Linked DNA regions of Xenopus tropicalis. The protein of the gene in region 4 interacts with the protein of the main gene of each other region in a pairwise test. Links are inferred from orthologs where the notes say so. Each region holds a gene or a part of one and is shown on either strand. Other genes may lie near its edges.

Evidence for each region. The genes of interacting proteins can lie anywhere in the genome.
Region 1: the proteins of abi2 (region 4) and stam2 interact in binary tests that used the Homo sapiens proteins (3 or more experiments, as listed by UniProt). The link is inferred for Xenopus tropicalis from reciprocal best matches to the Homo sapiens genes ABI2 and STAM2.
Region 2: the proteins of abi2 (region 4) and kiaa1217 interact in binary tests that used the Homo sapiens proteins (3 or more experiments, as listed by UniProt). The link is inferred for Xenopus tropicalis from reciprocal best matches to the Homo sapiens genes ABI2 and KIAA1217.
Region 3: the proteins of abi2 (region 4) and armc7 interact in binary tests that used the Homo sapiens proteins (3 or more experiments, as listed by UniProt). The link is inferred for Xenopus tropicalis from reciprocal best matches to the Homo sapiens genes ABI2 and ARMC7.

The regions. Positions count from the first base shown.
Region 1 is NC_030685.2:75,874,824-75,878,916, reverse strand, and holds the start of stam2 (signal transducing adapter molecule 2), read right to left. Parts: upstream 2,801-4,093; 5' UTR 2,581-2,800; coding exon 2,541-2,580; intron 1-2,540.
Region 2 is NC_030682.2:26,191,618-26,195,778, forward strand, and holds the start of kiaa1217 (sickle tail protein homolog), read right to left. Parts: upstream 2,801-4,161; 5' UTR 2,486-2,800; coding exon 2,272-2,485; intron 1-2,271. UniProt on the Homo sapiens protein: Required for normal development of intervertebral disks.
Region 3 is NC_030686.2:44,366,072-44,370,360, reverse strand, and holds the start of armc7 (armadillo repeat-containing protein 7), read right to left. Parts: upstream 2,801-4,289; 5' UTR 2,729-2,800; coding exon 2,653-2,728; intron 2,649-2,652; exon of another isoform or gene 2,559-2,648; coding exon 2,394-2,558; intron 746-2,393; coding exon 393-745; 3' UTR 1-392. UniProt on the Homo sapiens protein: As a component of the minor spliceosome, involved in the splicing of U12-type introns in pre-mRNAs.
Region 4 is NC_030685.2:54,233,985-54,237,129, reverse strand, and holds the end of abi2 (abl interactor 2), read right to left. Parts: intron 1,265-3,145; coding exon 1,091-1,264; intron 910-1,090; coding exon 734-909; 3' UTR 501-733; downstream 1-500. UniProt on the Homo sapiens protein: Regulator of actin cytoskeleton dynamics underlying cell motility and adhesion. Functions as a component of the WAVE complex, which activates actin nucleating machinery Arp2/3 to drive lamellipodia formation.

The sequences.
Region 1 (4,093 bases), about 22 Mb from region 4:
TTTCTTACTCATGGGCCACAGTCAAATGTAAAAAGACTTAGAGCAACAGAAGCACCATAAAAGTTCATGGAGGAGCCAAATAAGGGCTGTGATTGGCTATTAGGCAGCCTCTATGCACCAGCTTACAGGGGCTTTATTTGGGAGTAAATCTTATTTTTATTCAACCAAAACTTGCCCCCAAGTCAGGAATTTAAATAACTCCCTGGTTTGGGGGCACTGAGAGCAACATCCAAGGGGTTGGGGAGAAACATGTTGCCCCTGAGCCACTGGTTGGGGATCACTGGTCTAAACGATCAAATAAAAACAGTGGGTATATCGGCTGTCGGATCAAGGAAACGCATCAACGAGCCAATGCTGTCCCAGATCTGATGGGAAAATAAAGCCTGCCCGATCTTGATCTAGTCCAGATATCGGTCAGGTAGGCCCATCGGTGATGCCCATAACTGGGCAGATAAGCTGCCAAATCAGTGTGAAGGACCCAAATCGGCAGCTGACAATTAAATGGATGGTCACAATTGTTCAGCTGGCCTTCAGTAAGCCTGTGTCTTTGTATCAGTTATGTACAGGATTTGCAACTGCATCAGTGGGGGTGGGGTAATTCTAAAGGGCCCCCAAGAGAACAAATGATGTGATCTTAAACCATAGAACAAAAAAATCCATAACCTGAGGACTCAATACAAAAATGAAAGGTACATCACATAATTGTACTATTTCTGAAATAATCAAGTTAATCTTTCTATTTCCTTTTTACATCTGACTTTATACATGCAGCTTTGTGTCCCCTCTGGAAAGGGCCCTACTGTCACCTGAATTCTGACTCCAGCTTGTGCATACAGATTGCTGAGATAGTTGCCCTTGCAGTCTTTGGTATGAGGGGTAAAAAAACATCCTTGACATGCCCTTTACCTGCAGATGCCATGATTTCCTTATCATAACCTGGTCTGTCAACAAAAAGCAGCCTAAGCCACTGCAGCATTCTGATTGGTTTGTCCTTACACTGGAATGTATTATATACAAAGCACATAGACAGCCAGTGCGCTACATATAGCCCTCACAATGACAAAAGCTGGTACAGGTATGGGACCTATTATCCAGAATGCTCGGGACCAAGGGTATTCTGGATAAGGGGTCTTTACGTAATTTGGATCTACATACCTTAAGTCTGATAAAAAAAAAAAAAACAATAAAACATTAATTAAACCCAATAGGATTATTCTGCCCGAATAAGGAGTAATTATATCTTAGTTGGGATCAAGTACAGGTACTGTTTTATTATTACAGAGAAAAGGGAATCATTTAACCATTAAATAAACCCAATAGGGCTGTTCTGCCCCTTATATCTTAGTTGGGATCAAGTAAAGGTACTGTTTTATTATTAGAGAGAAAAGGGAATCATTTAACCATTAAATAAACCCAATAGGGCTGTTCTGTCCCCAATTAGGGGTAATTATATCTTAGTTGGGATCAAGTACAGGTACTGTTTTATTATTACAGAGAAAAGGGAATCATTTAACCATGAAATAAACCCAATAGGGCTGTTCTGCCCCCAATAAGGGGTAATTATATCTTAGTTGGGATCAAGTACAGGTACTGTTTTATTATTACAGAGAAAAGGGAATCATTTAACCATTAAATAAACCCAATAGGGCTGTTCTGCCCCCAATAAGGGGTAATTATATCTTAGTTGGGATCAAGTACAGGTACTGTTTTATTATTACAGAGAAAAGGGAATCATTTAACCATTAAATAAACCCAATAGGACTGTTCTTCCCCCAATAAGGGGTAATTATATCTTAGTTGGGATAAAATACAAGGCACTGTTTTATTATTACAGAGAAAAGAAAAATGCATTTTAAGAATCTGAATTGTTTCATTAAAATGGAGTCTATGGGAGACAGGCATTCTGTAATTCGGAGATTTCTGAATAACAGATCCCATAGCTGTAATAGATGTAAATGATATACCAGCCTGGCCATCTCATCCCTTTATCTAGAGGAAACATATGAAGCAGTATGGCAGGAGCGTACTGACACTATTGGGGATGGGATAGGCTGGTTAGCTTTGGTTAGAGAGTGGCAGGATGATTAATTAAAGTACAAATGTGATTGGTTGGCATGGGTTACTGGGCAAGTACAAATGTTACTCTTCCCCTCCTGTATCGGTTATTGATTGCTTTATATGTTACTCTGTATGTCCAATGTATGAAACCCACTTATTGTACAGCGCTGCGGAATATGTTGGCGCTTTATAAATAAATGTTAATAATAATAATAATAAATGAGCCCATGTGGGATACCAGAGCTAAAGGCCATTGCTGGCTTCTGGATAATAAAGTAGGCATGACGTGACAGCTTTTCTCCCCAAGAGGTTCCTCAGCAGCCGCGGGTTTTACTACATGGACCAATAATACTGAAATCCTTTCTGTTACTGAACTATAACTCTCCAACAGCCGCAGGCATATAGGGGTCGCTGAGGGTTGTAGTTATACAGGAGCTGCATATTCCCCGTATGGATGCCCGTGTTCCAGGGATAGCACTTACCCACATCCTGATCAAAGGGATTAGAGCCGAAGAGCGGCATGCTGGGGCGATAGGAAGGCGAGAGGTCCGTGTACAGTGCTGGGGCCCCGCTGCTAGCCTGGCTCTTCCTACTCCGGCTTCCTCTCTCCCCAGTCACAACATCCAAGCACAGAGGCTTCCGGGTCTGCCCGCTCACCGCCTGACTCAAAAACAAGTGCCGCCGCGCTTGGGGAATTATTCTATATTCATACGCTGAACTCTTTTACAAAAGGAACCTTTACACGTCAGCATATAAAGGCTAAACATCTGTCTAGGTGCGAGTTCAGCGTTGCGTATTTTACAGGCAGCTGCATGGTTGCCTAAATCGTGGGTCCTTTGTAGTTTTTTAGGGTCCTCCGCGGAAGGAAGGGCAGGTAACGCCTGCGAATTGGCATAGTCATGTGACTAACGTCACCTGAAAGTCTGAGGAAAGGAATGTACCAACAGCAGTGATGTCATAGGGGATTGGGAAAGGCAGGGTCAGCTGATCAATGGAGGAACAACAGACAGATTATTAATATATAGATATATAGATATAATATATAGATATATATATATATAGATATATATATAGATATATATAGATATATAATATAGATATATAATATATATATATATATATATATATATATATTATATATCTATAGTAGGTATATAGGGCAGTCATTAGAGGGGTGCTGCATTGGGGTATTTAAGGCCAATCTATATTTCTGTTTGGTAAGGAATCACCAGCACCAGTGTTATAGGGTTGCCGCCTTTGAAATCTGTGATAGACAGACGAGAGGGCAGGGTGATATTAGGGGCAGAAATTTGAGGGTGGGGTCATGACATTTTTGGGGGAGGGGCCTGGACATTATTGCTGGTTATTGGCCGGATTATTGTTTGGGTTTCACAAGACTGTAACATTAACCGTTGTGACCCGAAAACGTACCTCCCAGTATTTTGAAAATGGAAAGAGGCACAAAATTAAATGCGGCATGGTGAATTGTTTTTGACCACGCCCATTTTTGCAACCACACCCCCTAAATACCGCTCCCATTTGACTAAATTGGCAGGTTTTATAAAGTTTGAAAACATTTCTGGGGGTTTGGGGTCTTGTTTTATGTGTTGTTACAGTTTTGTTAAAAAAAGGTGAAATTGCCCTTTAAGCTGCAAGTCTCAGTCCCCCCAAGAGACCTGTTTAGATTATTAGTTACAATTGTATCTCAGTGCAGGGGGGGCTTTTTACCTTTCTGGGCTCTCTGCCAAAAGCTACTTATTTAATTAAATGTGTGAAACAATGTTTCTAAGTGCAGGAGAAGCTTGTTAAGTTTTCTGGGCTCTGCCAAAAGCTACTTATTTAATTTAATGTGAGAAACAATGTATCTAAATGCAGCTGAAGCTTGTTAACTTTCTGGGCTCTCTGCCAAAAGCTACTTTTTAATTAAATTTGTATCTTTTTTAGCATTCAGTACAGGAGATCAAAGGGAAATGAGGGACTTTTTAGTAAGAATCCTGGACTGCGGGTTGAGCTGTCAGAAGAGGGACTGTTCCAC
Region 2 (4,161 bases), on a different chromosome or scaffold from region 4:
GAAGGTGTTTATTATCTGTTCTCCTGCCTGAATATAATGGGCCATGATTTACGAGAGCATTAGGGAGGATACAGCAAGCTTTTCTCTATTCACACAAAACTATCCTGCACCCATGATAAATGTTTACAGACATAGTGTTCACTTTAAAGGGGAACAAAACCCTAAACCCCAGGCAGAATCAGGATCAGACTAGCAGGACACCAGGAAAATCTTGGGGGGGGGGGCTGCCTACCCAGGCCCAGTCCCTGCTGGAAACTGCGAGTAGACCCCCACCCCCAACCACAGATATAAGGAGAAGGTAAAATGTGCACTGGTGGGACCTTTTCTGGTTGTGTGATGACGTCGGGGTGGGGTTATTGTGTCTGCTAGACGCAATTTGGAGGGCTTCTGCCCGGTTTTCAAAATGTTGAAAACCAGGCAGGGGTTTGTTTTAATATGGCCATAAACATACCCATAATGATCTTTCCTGCAACCACAGGTCGTTCGTTCCCTCCATAGAGGTTCAGGGCTGAATCATCAGATATGGAGGTAGAAACAATAGGAATTCAATCTCCACCTGACAATTCCACCCTAAATGCAGATTTTGCTCCGGCGCCTTCAATGGCACCCGATCAAAATCTTTAGTCCCGATCGACGAGATTACCGATGTTGCAAAAGCTCATTGATCGTGCAATACTATCGGTGTGTGTATGGGCAGTTTAAGACTATTGCTGCCCAGTCTTGTGTCACAATAAAAGTGAAAAGCTAATTCAAAAGCTAAATTCAAAAAGCTAATTCAATTTCACAGAGAGCGATCTAGGGAACTGATATTTGTGCTGAATAATCGGCGGCAGCTAATTCCCACTTTACATGTTTCCAACATAGGAAATAGAATTAAAAAAACCCTCGGTACTCGTACGGGCCCTAAGGACACGCAGGAGGAATGGACCTAATTAAAAAGTGAAATGATCTAATGAAATGAGAAGAGCACTGCCTACATCCTCTGCCATGCATTGCCCCCAGCCATGAAATATACTCAGCCCCTGACCTCCCCTTACACGGGGCACTGGGACATTCCCTGTGGCTCTCTCTCTGCACACGTGACACAATCCACAAGCCTTCAATTTATTGCACAACATCAGTGTTTAAAGGAGCTCCAAGATCTGTAAAATAAAGGTAATGTTTTGCAAACACTGCAGAGGGCTGCTGTACACTTTGCTGTATATAGCAGGCTCAGTTGCCTGATATTCATTTGGTCCCTGTTCTCTGTCTTTCAGCTTGCTGGCATCCATTTGCCATTTAATAGAAATTTGAGTTGCCTTTTATCTACATGGCAACCAAATGGGTCAGTACCGCACTGAAGTCAAGTCTAAGCTAATGACAAACATATCTGATTATATGGAAAGGCAAAGGGGCAGAAATGTTTTTAGGGGTTCCAATGGGGTGACTGGTTAATGTTCTGCATGTCTTGAGCCCCTCTAGAGCAGAACTTGTAGGTAGAAAGAGATGGAATTAGGAACTAAAGCAGCAGAGAAAGATGGAAAAAACAGTAGGGCAAATAGTAAGCAACACTATATCAGTGTTACCCATCCTGTAGCCCTTCAGCTATTAAACTACTCACTGCCCCTAAACACTATAAAAAGCCTAACTTGCCCAGGGTGAAGTATATGGCAGGGGGAAGAAATATGGAGTGACAAAGCAGCCAAAATACTTAATATTGGAGAATAATCAATGCTACACAAATTTGTTTCCCATGCCTGGAACAGTGTAATCTGTGATGTGTAAATCATCCCATTGCAACATTACTTAACCTTTATTTGCACTGCCCTTAATCTGGTGCTTAATGAAACACACTGAGTGAGTAGTCGTAACCTGCAGTGCTCCCTGACCTGATTGTGTTGCTTGGAAGAAACAAGTCCCACGTGGAATTTACTGTATTTATCAGAATTTCTAGCATGGCAATATGATAACACAGCTATTGTGGGATGTCCCCATTCCCTGTCAGACACAGAGCCATCGCTTGCTGGGGTACAGTATTGAACTTTTGGCTATCTGCTTGGTACAAAGACATATTAGCAGTCACACAGGTTTCTATTGGACAAACTCCCAGCTGCCAATGTGTACAGGGAGTTACAGCTGGGAGTTGCAGTTCAGGATTTATAAATAAAGTTATACATACATACATAGGATACGACCGGTCAGTGGAGTTCAAACAGACAGCAAGAGATGGAGAATAAGGCAATATCTGCACATCAAACAGAGTGAGAGCTGCTAAAGAAGAAATGACTGTACCTTTGGTGCTGCTGCTGGAGCCGGCTTGCCTGCTGGCTATTTGGGCTGCCTGCCCTTGCTGCCTAGTCAGGTTCCCTTCGCTGCCTGCTCGCAGAATCTTCTCTCCTAAGCTGCTTTTCCTTCCTCGGTTGCTAAAATCTTCTTTCCTATTCATAGGCGGCTTAGAGGGTACATGAGACGGCAAGGGCCTGGCCAAACGTGATGGCTTGGACATTGCTGCTGCTCTGACTTACAGATCCAAATAGCAGCAGGCAGCTCTGATCCTCATCAGTTTCTCATAGTTTTTTTGCGGCAGTGGCAGAGAATTCCTGGAGTGCTGTGAGTGGGGCAGCTGCCGGAATACAAGTGCTAGGATGCAAGTTTAATCAGGTTGGAGCCGAGAGGCAGTGGGCAGTCACAGCAGCACTTTATCCGACCTGTGGAATGTAAATGGGCTTTTGGATCATTCATTTGCCTTCTCTGCAGCAGGGGAGTCTCTCAGTGGCAGCAGATGCAGTGTGTGTGTGTGTGTAGGTATGAATGTGTATGTGTAGGAATGAATGGCTATGTGTAGGTGTGAATGTACATGTGTGTCAGTGGCTGCTGCTGGCATGTTCAGGCTGGAAACTGGACATCATTAAAGCGGAACAAGAATGTGCCCACGCTCCTCCTACCCAGGTAAGCTTGCTGTACAGGGGGGCAGATGTGAGCGCCTGGGGGAAACCAGAAGCATTTGCCAGATGTGAATACTAATGCACAGGGATAGGCTCCAGGTATTTTTCCTTTGTTTTAACCCTTTAAGGTTGAATATTCTAATTCTGCATATTTAATTGTACCTCATGTAATCACAAAACAGCATAAGGATTACATCAAATTATATTAATTATTTTCTCAAACAGGTTTTATTCATTCTAGATTGGTCCATTCTTAGCACCTTTTCAATTGGTCCTGATTGTTTATTTTGCGTCATTTTGTAATTATTTGCCTTCCTCTTCTGACTGTGAGGGTCAATGACTCCCATAGACAAGAATTTATTGCTCCGTGAGGCTACATTGTTATTGCTCATTCTTTCTACTTGTAGATTGTAAGCTCTTTTGGGCAGGGGCCTCTTCACCTCTTGTATCGGTTATTGATTGCTTTATATGTTACTCTGTATGTCCAATGTATGAAACCCACTTATTGTACAGCGCTGCGGAATATGTTGGCGCTTTATAAATAAATGTTAATAATAATAAAAATAATATTTTGTCCCTCCCCATTCATATTCCAGTCTTTCTTTTAAACCATGCCTGGTTGCTAGGTTAAATTGGACCCTAGCAACCAGAAAGCTGCTGAAACTGGAGATCTGCCAAATAAAATGCAGAATCATTGAAAAAACACAAATAATAAAAAAGAAGACCAACTGCAATCTGTCTCACAATTTCACTACCATGTCTATTACTAAAAGTGAATTTAATGGTGTACCACTCCTTTAAAGATGTAAGTGGTGTATTATTGGGGTCACATGACTTAAGGACACTGGCAACTGGTCAGTTTTCCCATCAGCTTCCATATTGAAATTTCCCTCAATGTCTCCCTATGATAAATGCCAAGACAGGCAATGTTTGCATGATTCTTATCGGAATAAGAGCATGGATGTGTTTTCAAGCAAATATCACACAAAAATCACTATTTTCCATCCAATTCACAAGGGATTTTCACAATGAAATTTTTCTCCGCTTTACCCCAGTCTCTCTGGTTCTTTTGCTTAAGTCTGAGAAGAAACACTGCATTATGGGAACAAAAAGATGGTGATTTGTGCCAATGTGTGTGCCCTGTCCTCTCAATAAATTAGGTTCTCTGTGTGAAAATCCACTACTGTTCCCTTAAAAAACGACAGATTACCTACATAGACTAACATATACAGATGGC
Region 3 (4,289 bases), on a different chromosome or scaffold from region 4:
TACCATAAGGTTCCCCCACCCCTTTCATGGACCCTGAATAACCCATGAAGCTTTGCTGGGGAGAGCTAAGAAACACAACTGTACAATCTCGCCAACCATTGGCCACTCACGAAGAGTGGATAGCAGTGTAGATAGCAGCACCGAGTGCTTTTCCTCTTTAATGATTTTAATACAGTAGAAATAAATACACGAGGGACCATGGGGTCAGTCCATAACTGAATCACGGAACAGTATCTTGCAGGGGACTGCAGTCCGGCAAGGCTTGCACTTGTCTCCCAAACTTGTTTCATGATCATGAAAGTGACCAGCACTTCAAACACAGAGTTTGTCACACTCCGAGAACAGCCATGCTGCATCTGTTTCTAGTAGGGTGCAAATGTCCGACACGGGAGTCAGATGGGGTGCTGCGTGGATTCAGGGAGCGGGATTCCCAATGCCGAATGTTGGCTCAGTTCTTTGGCTTCTTGCACTTGCTTATCGCTGCAGTAATCCTGCAGGAAGATGGTGGCCAAATTGCTGATCCTGCGGTTGGTGGAAAGGGAGAAGCGCACCATGCACTCCACCACAGCAGGAGCCGTCACTTCAGTGCGGGAGGCGGCCGTGCACAGGAACATGAGTGTGGTCAGCGCCGAAAGCACCGTCTCTTCCCGACGGCTGGACAGGCAATTGATGACCAATTTCAGCCCCCCGGAGTCTAGTATGTGACTCTTGTTAGTCTTGTCCAGGCAGAGATTACAGAGACCCCCTATTGGAAAAGAGAGAATGGTTAAAGGCAAACTAACAATTTCAAAGACATTATGACCTACAGGGGGTTTGATCACAATTGAAATTGAGGACATGTTTTTTAGGGGGGGGGGGGATCCCATAGGAAAGATGGAAAAAAACATATTGCCCAAACCTACAATATCCTTCCGTCCTGCTGGAAGTGGTTAATACAAGATAACTGGGCTTTCACTGCACCCAATGTTTATATTCGCAACACAGGATGTTTATCTGGGTATAAAAGGATCGCACAGAAGTTTGTAGTGAAAACGATAAATATACCAGAGCCGTGTTTGTCAGAGACCAATGACAGGCGAGGGGTTGGGGGGGGTGGTACACGGTGGCCATAGATGGGCTGATAAAACCTACTGATTCTGCCACCCCCCCCTCCAGTGCCAGGTTGCATATTGGGCTTTTCCCAGGGACAGACTGGGACAATGAGAAAAATCCCAGTGGGCCCCACCAACCCAGGCCTGATCCCTGCCAGCAACATCGGCCCTCCACCCTCAGTGAGGGGCCCCCAGTCTGACACTGGCTTTTTTTCAATGGTCCGTCCCACTGTCATCAAGCAGAAAATTTAAGCATCTACCCACTGCCCACCTATAGCCACTTTCACTATACTGTCCATCAACTGGAGATTGGGGCGGAGTCATTATATCAGGGGTGGGCAAACTACGGCCTGCAAGCCATGTCTGGCCCATTGGCCTTTTTAATCCGGTCCGCTGACTCCTGATTGGTCGCTGTAGGTCGCTGGGGGGGGGGGGAGGATGTTTAGGAGGATGCTGAGAAGGATGCTGGGGGGGAGCTGGTGGGAGGATGCTGGAGGGGGGCTGGTGGGAGGATGCTTGGGGGGAGCTGGTGGGAGGATGCTGGGTAGGGACGCTGGGGGGAGCTGGAGGATGCTGGTGGGAGGATGTTGAGGAAGATGCTGGTGGGAGTTGAAGAATGCTGGGGGGGAGCTGGTGGGAGGATGTTGAGGAGGATGCTGGGAAGGACACTGGGGGGAGCTGGAGGATGCTGGTGGGAGGATGTTGAGGAAGATGCTGGGGGGAGTTGAAGGATGCTGAGGGGAGCTGAAGGATGCTGGGGGGGAGCTGGTGGGAGGATGTTGAGCAGGATGCTGGGAAGGACGCTGGGGGAGCTGGAGGATGCTGGGAAGGATGCTGGAGGGGAGCTGGTGGGAGGATGCTGAGGAGGATGCTGGGATAGGATGCTGGGGGGAGCTGGAGGATGCTGGTGGGAAGATGCTGGGGGGAGCTGAGAGGCCTGTGATTTCGGGCCAGCGTTACACTCAGGGCCTCCATCAAGTCAATGTGTCCCCTGAGCTTGGAGGATGCTGGCAAGGACGCTGGGGGGAGCTGGAGGATGCTGGTGGGAGGATGTTGAGGAAGATGCTGGGGGGAGTTGAAGGATGCTGGGGGGGAGCTGGTGGGAGGATGCTGGGATAGGATGCTGGGGGGAGCTGGTGGGAGGATGCTGAGGAGGATGCTGGGGGGAGCTGGAGGATGCTGGTGGGAGGATGCTGGGGGGAGGATGCTGGTGGGAGCTGAGATTATATTGCATTATATTGTGACCCTCCTGCCACACATGGGGGCACATTGTGGGCTCAGCACTTCAGTACATTCTCTCACCCAGGCCAAACTCCACCAGGTTCTCATTGCCCTCAGTCAGCATATCCAGGAACAGGTCCAGCACCTGTAGCTTCCGCAGGTCGGAAAAGTTCCGGGGATCGTAGGCGAAGTTGGCCAGATTGGCCAGGACCTGCTCTTTGGCTTCTGAGCAATTAAGGGGAGAAACTAATGAGAAGAGGAAATGATGCGGAGAGTTGGTACAAAACTACAACCGTAACGAAACTGAATGGGGTTAAATCTCCCCCTCTCTCTCCCTTACCGACACTGTCCGTGTCCTGGAACTCAGTGACCAACGTCTGCAGGTACTGAAACCGCTCCGACTCCCCGTCACCCATCCCCGCTCTCTATCAGCCCGCAGTACCTGCGCTTCCGGGTGGGCGGAAGTGATGTCACCGTACTGGCAGAAGCCTCAAGTCGGGTGCCAGTTCTCGTCCTACTTCCGGGCGGGAAGCGTGAGGGAGGCGCAAAGCGCTGAGGCGGAACTGTAGCGTTAGGGGCAGAATTACCCGGGTAAGTGTGAGGGTGGGAACAATAGAAATAAACAAAATGTCATGCTATGAGTATACTTTTGTATTGAGATTTATATATTTATGATGTATTTTTCTCTTCAGACCCTCTCCTACTCACTCTTCAGGTTGGCAACTTGGTAGCAGGAAATTGGAAAGTGTAGAAGTGCTAAAGTGGCAAAAACCTCAGAGGATAAAAAAATGAAGACTGTGGTACTTATCTGCTGCTCACACAATTCTTACAACTATGGCCCACGGGCCGTATTGGCGCAATACCGTCTGACCCCGCCCCTCCAGACACTCGTTTCAATAGAAAACACGTGACACCCAGGCAACAAAGGCCCAGGCCCGGGGCGGAACAGATTAAGGGCTCTGGCACACGGGGAGATTAGTCACCCGCGACAAAACTCCCTGTTCGTGGGCAACTAATCTCCCCGAGTTGCCTTCCCCTGCCATCCCACTGGCGAAAATGTAAGTGGCCGGTGGGATGGCACACGCGGCAGCGCGATTTAGCGCAAATCGCTGAAAAAGCCTCGCAAGGCAACTTCGGCGATTTGCGTGAAATCGCGCCGCCGCGTGTGCCATCCCACCCGCGACTTACATGTTCGCCGGTGGGATGGCAGGGGAAGGCAACTCGGGGAGATTAGTTGCCCACGAACAGGGAGTTTTGCCGCGGGCGACTAATCTCCCCGTGTGCCAGAGCCCTTAGGGTGGCATGCTGCCCAAGCCGCACTGAAAATTGAACGTTAAATGGAAACACCAAGCTGCAGGGCCAGACTGGGGGTAAAAAGCAGCCCAAATATAAATATGCAATGGCCTTCTACTCTTTATATCGCCACACATGTATATAGGGGTAAAATGGCTATAAATCATGTGCATAAGGAATTGGGATGTTAACACGTCTCTAGTTTGGTATTTCTGCAACTATCTGGTTGCTAGGGTCATATTTAAACTAGCAACCACGTGAGATATGGTACTGAATAACAATAGCCTCTCAGAGCAATAGTTTTTTGGCTGGCTGACTGCCTGAAAGCATAGAGAGGCAGAAAAAGGCAGCAAATAATTTAAAAATAAGTAAAAAAAAAGACCAGTGGCACAGATGCTAAATATAGGGTATTTTATAACTCACTTTTATCCCCCTGGGATTCACAGTGCACACAAACAGAGTCGGACTGGCCCACCAGGATACCAGGAAAACTCCCGGTGGGCCCAGGGGTCAGTGGGCCCTCCTGCTCCTCACCATTTGGCCTATTCATGGTCATTCCCTATTTCTGAATGGGAACAAAGAGAAGAAATAGATGGAAGAATAGATGCTAGCATGTAAATAAAACAGACTAGGAGAATAAAGTGGTTTTAGTGAGGAAAGGAGGAAAATTAATTTGGAGAGTGG
Region 4 (3,145 bases):
CATTGCTAAACACGCCACACTCGTCCGAATCCATTTTGTGTGGAAAGAATCACAGCAGCAACATCAGATTCCCCACAATTTAAGGGAAGCAGGGAGAAATTTATCAACATTATGTGCCACCGACACACAGAAATGATTAGTGCACCACTGGCTGCGATAGGATGTGTAGATTCTATACTCTTTGGTGGGTAATGCACTTATTACACTTTATTGTGCTTATGCTGGAAATACATTTGTACTGAAAAATCTGCCTTATGTTCCTCACATTATTAAAAGAAGATCAATTTCGTATTCCTCATCAAGTGTGATCGCATAAAAGACTCAAGATCTGGAAATAACTACTTCAGCTGCATACACGGTACAGCAAGAAACGCATATCAAATACTTGGAAATAACAGGGTTACATTACCCGTAATTACATCCCGCAGTCCTGGGACTGGGACTTTTGGGGGGGGGGGGGGGGGTAGAAAAGACAAAACAAGGGGTAAGCAATGCCAGGATTTTTTTTTTTTCTCAACAAAATTTTTTTTTCAATAAACCAGAGCTGCTGCGATGAAAGAACACTTTGTTCAAATAACTTGCACCACTAATTGGTAATCATAAAACAAAAGAAAAAGTGGTTTGATCACAAAGATCTTGCTCTTCATTCATTCACTTGTTTGGCCCACAAAGGGCCCATGTAAATGTGGGAAGTCACAACAGTTGGAAAGTTTTATTTGGCCATGTGTCGCCATCATTCAGAATAGTGCATGATAGATTCCACATAGTTGCCTGGAAAAAGCCCTGTCACTCCATTCATGACACCCTCGTACCACCCATCATCATTCTTCTTAATGACGTATATAATGGCTCCTTCCTGAAAGGATAGCTCATCCTCTTTGTCTTTTGAGTAGTCGTAGATTGCAACAACTATTAAAAAAAAAAAAAAGTATAAGATAGTATATTGTGAATGAGAGTCGGGGATGTATGTATGACTTTTCTCTTCTTTTCACTATCTGGAAATGCTCTTACGGATATGTTGCTAATAATTGGTCAGAATGTCATTTAGCGATGTATAATCTACCTATTACGACAACATTGCTTTACAAACCTTTCTCTAAATAAGTCCTTGGAGCCCAAGGAGGGTCTTCTTCAGCATATGGATCACTGTATTCTACTACAGCAGCTTCTTCTTCTTCATAGTCTTCTGGAGGGGGAGGAGGAGGAGGTGATTCGTCAAAGACAGGCTCTTCTGCAGGGGGTGGTGGAGGTGGGGTTTCTGTTACTATTGGTGGGTGACAAAAAAAGCAAGTTTATAATTCAATAGGCTAGCAATCCCAAATGTTTATCTTTTTTCTGCCCAAATGTGCCATGATGGGCCAATGATGGAGGTGACAATCTAAACCCCTTTATACAAAACTAGGACCTATATCCCTAATGCCTAAAATGCCCCAAGGGAGGGAACTATTTCTTCCCAACTGCTACTTAGATTACTAAATAAATAAATATGCCAGGAGGGCTTACGATTGGTGATGGTGTGGTAACAAGGCAGACTCCTTCCTAGTGTAGAAATCTAGAAACAGCCTAACCTCATTACAATGGCCTAATATGGACTCTACTCTCTGCCTAAACAGAACTTTGCTAACTATTCTCAGTCTCGCCTTTACCCACCATATTATTTTTCAAAAAAATTATTTAAACATTAATTAAACCCAATAGGATTGTTTTTCCTCCCATAAGGCTTAATTATATCTTACAAGGTACTGTTTTATTATTACAGAGAAAAAGGAAATATTTTTTAAAAATGTGAATTATTTGATTAAAATAAGTCTATGGGAGATGGCCTTCCCGTAATTCAGAACTTTCTGGATAATAGGTTTCCGGATAAGGGGGTCCAATACCTGTACTGACACTGGACAGCACTATAGACATTACACATCAGTCATTAGAATTATTACACATCAGAATTAACTTGCCTGCATGTTGTCTGTGAAAAACACTGATTGACATGGCATTATTTCAGGTCAGGAGAATAGTAACATTAAAGGGATACTGTCATGATTTTTATGGCATAATTTTTATTTCTAAATTACACTGTACAAATAATTCACTCTACCAATTGAAATTTTATTCTTGAACCAAAAATTACTGTTTAAAAGGAGAAGGAACGTCATTTTACTGCCAATAGATCCACCACATTAGTGCCACCTAGAACACTCTATATATTCTGCAGAAAGCATTACCATACCTGAGTAAAGAGCCCTAAAAGCTTTCTCTGTTTAAGATTGCAGCTGCCATTTTAGCTTGGTCTTCATAGCTTTCTTCTTCCAGCTCTAGCCATTGTAGTGGAGGGTAGGAATGAAGTAATGTTGGTCTGTTGAAACTTCTTAAATGGATTCTGCTGTGATTTTTGTGTACTTTTTATTTCTAAATTACACTGTTTACATAACAAATAATTATGTTGGGTTGAAAACCCCAACATACTGTTTTTCGACTTTAGCTTATTCTTCCGCTTCTTCTTCTTAGCGCCCCCCATTTTCTAAACACTACTCCTCCTACAGTTTTAGGGGTACAGCACCCAAACTCCCCACACATCTTCGCCCTATAGCGGAGCAGGTTGCTTGTGCTTTTCTAAGTGATTGCACCCCCCGTCTTTTTGTGGCGCCGCTCCGAACCCCCCAATTTTCCCATTGACTTTGACAGGGAAGATTTTCAAACTGCTGCCACTCTTACAGCTTTGAAGCTACACCTCCCAAACTTGAATAACATAATCATGGGGTCACCCAGAATGAAGCAGCAACATTTGTTGGATGACCCCAAAGTGGGAGGGGCCAACAACAGCCAATCAAATTTTAATCATTGACTTTAATGGGGAAATTGAAACTGCTGCCAATCTTACAGCTTTGAGGCTACACTCCCCAAACTTGAATCACACAGTCATGGGCTCAGCCTGAATGAAAATAGGATGATTATTGGATGCCCAAAAGTGGGCGGAGCTGTGAACCGCCAATCAAATTTTACCTATTGATTTGGCAAAAATCCAACCTGCTGCCAGTCTCACAGTAATAACGTCGGGGTCCCCAAACTTTTTACACTTGGTCACTAGGGGACTGCAGTTTAAGTTTTGAAAAGTGGGCGGAGCCACCAACAGCCAATCAAATTTCAC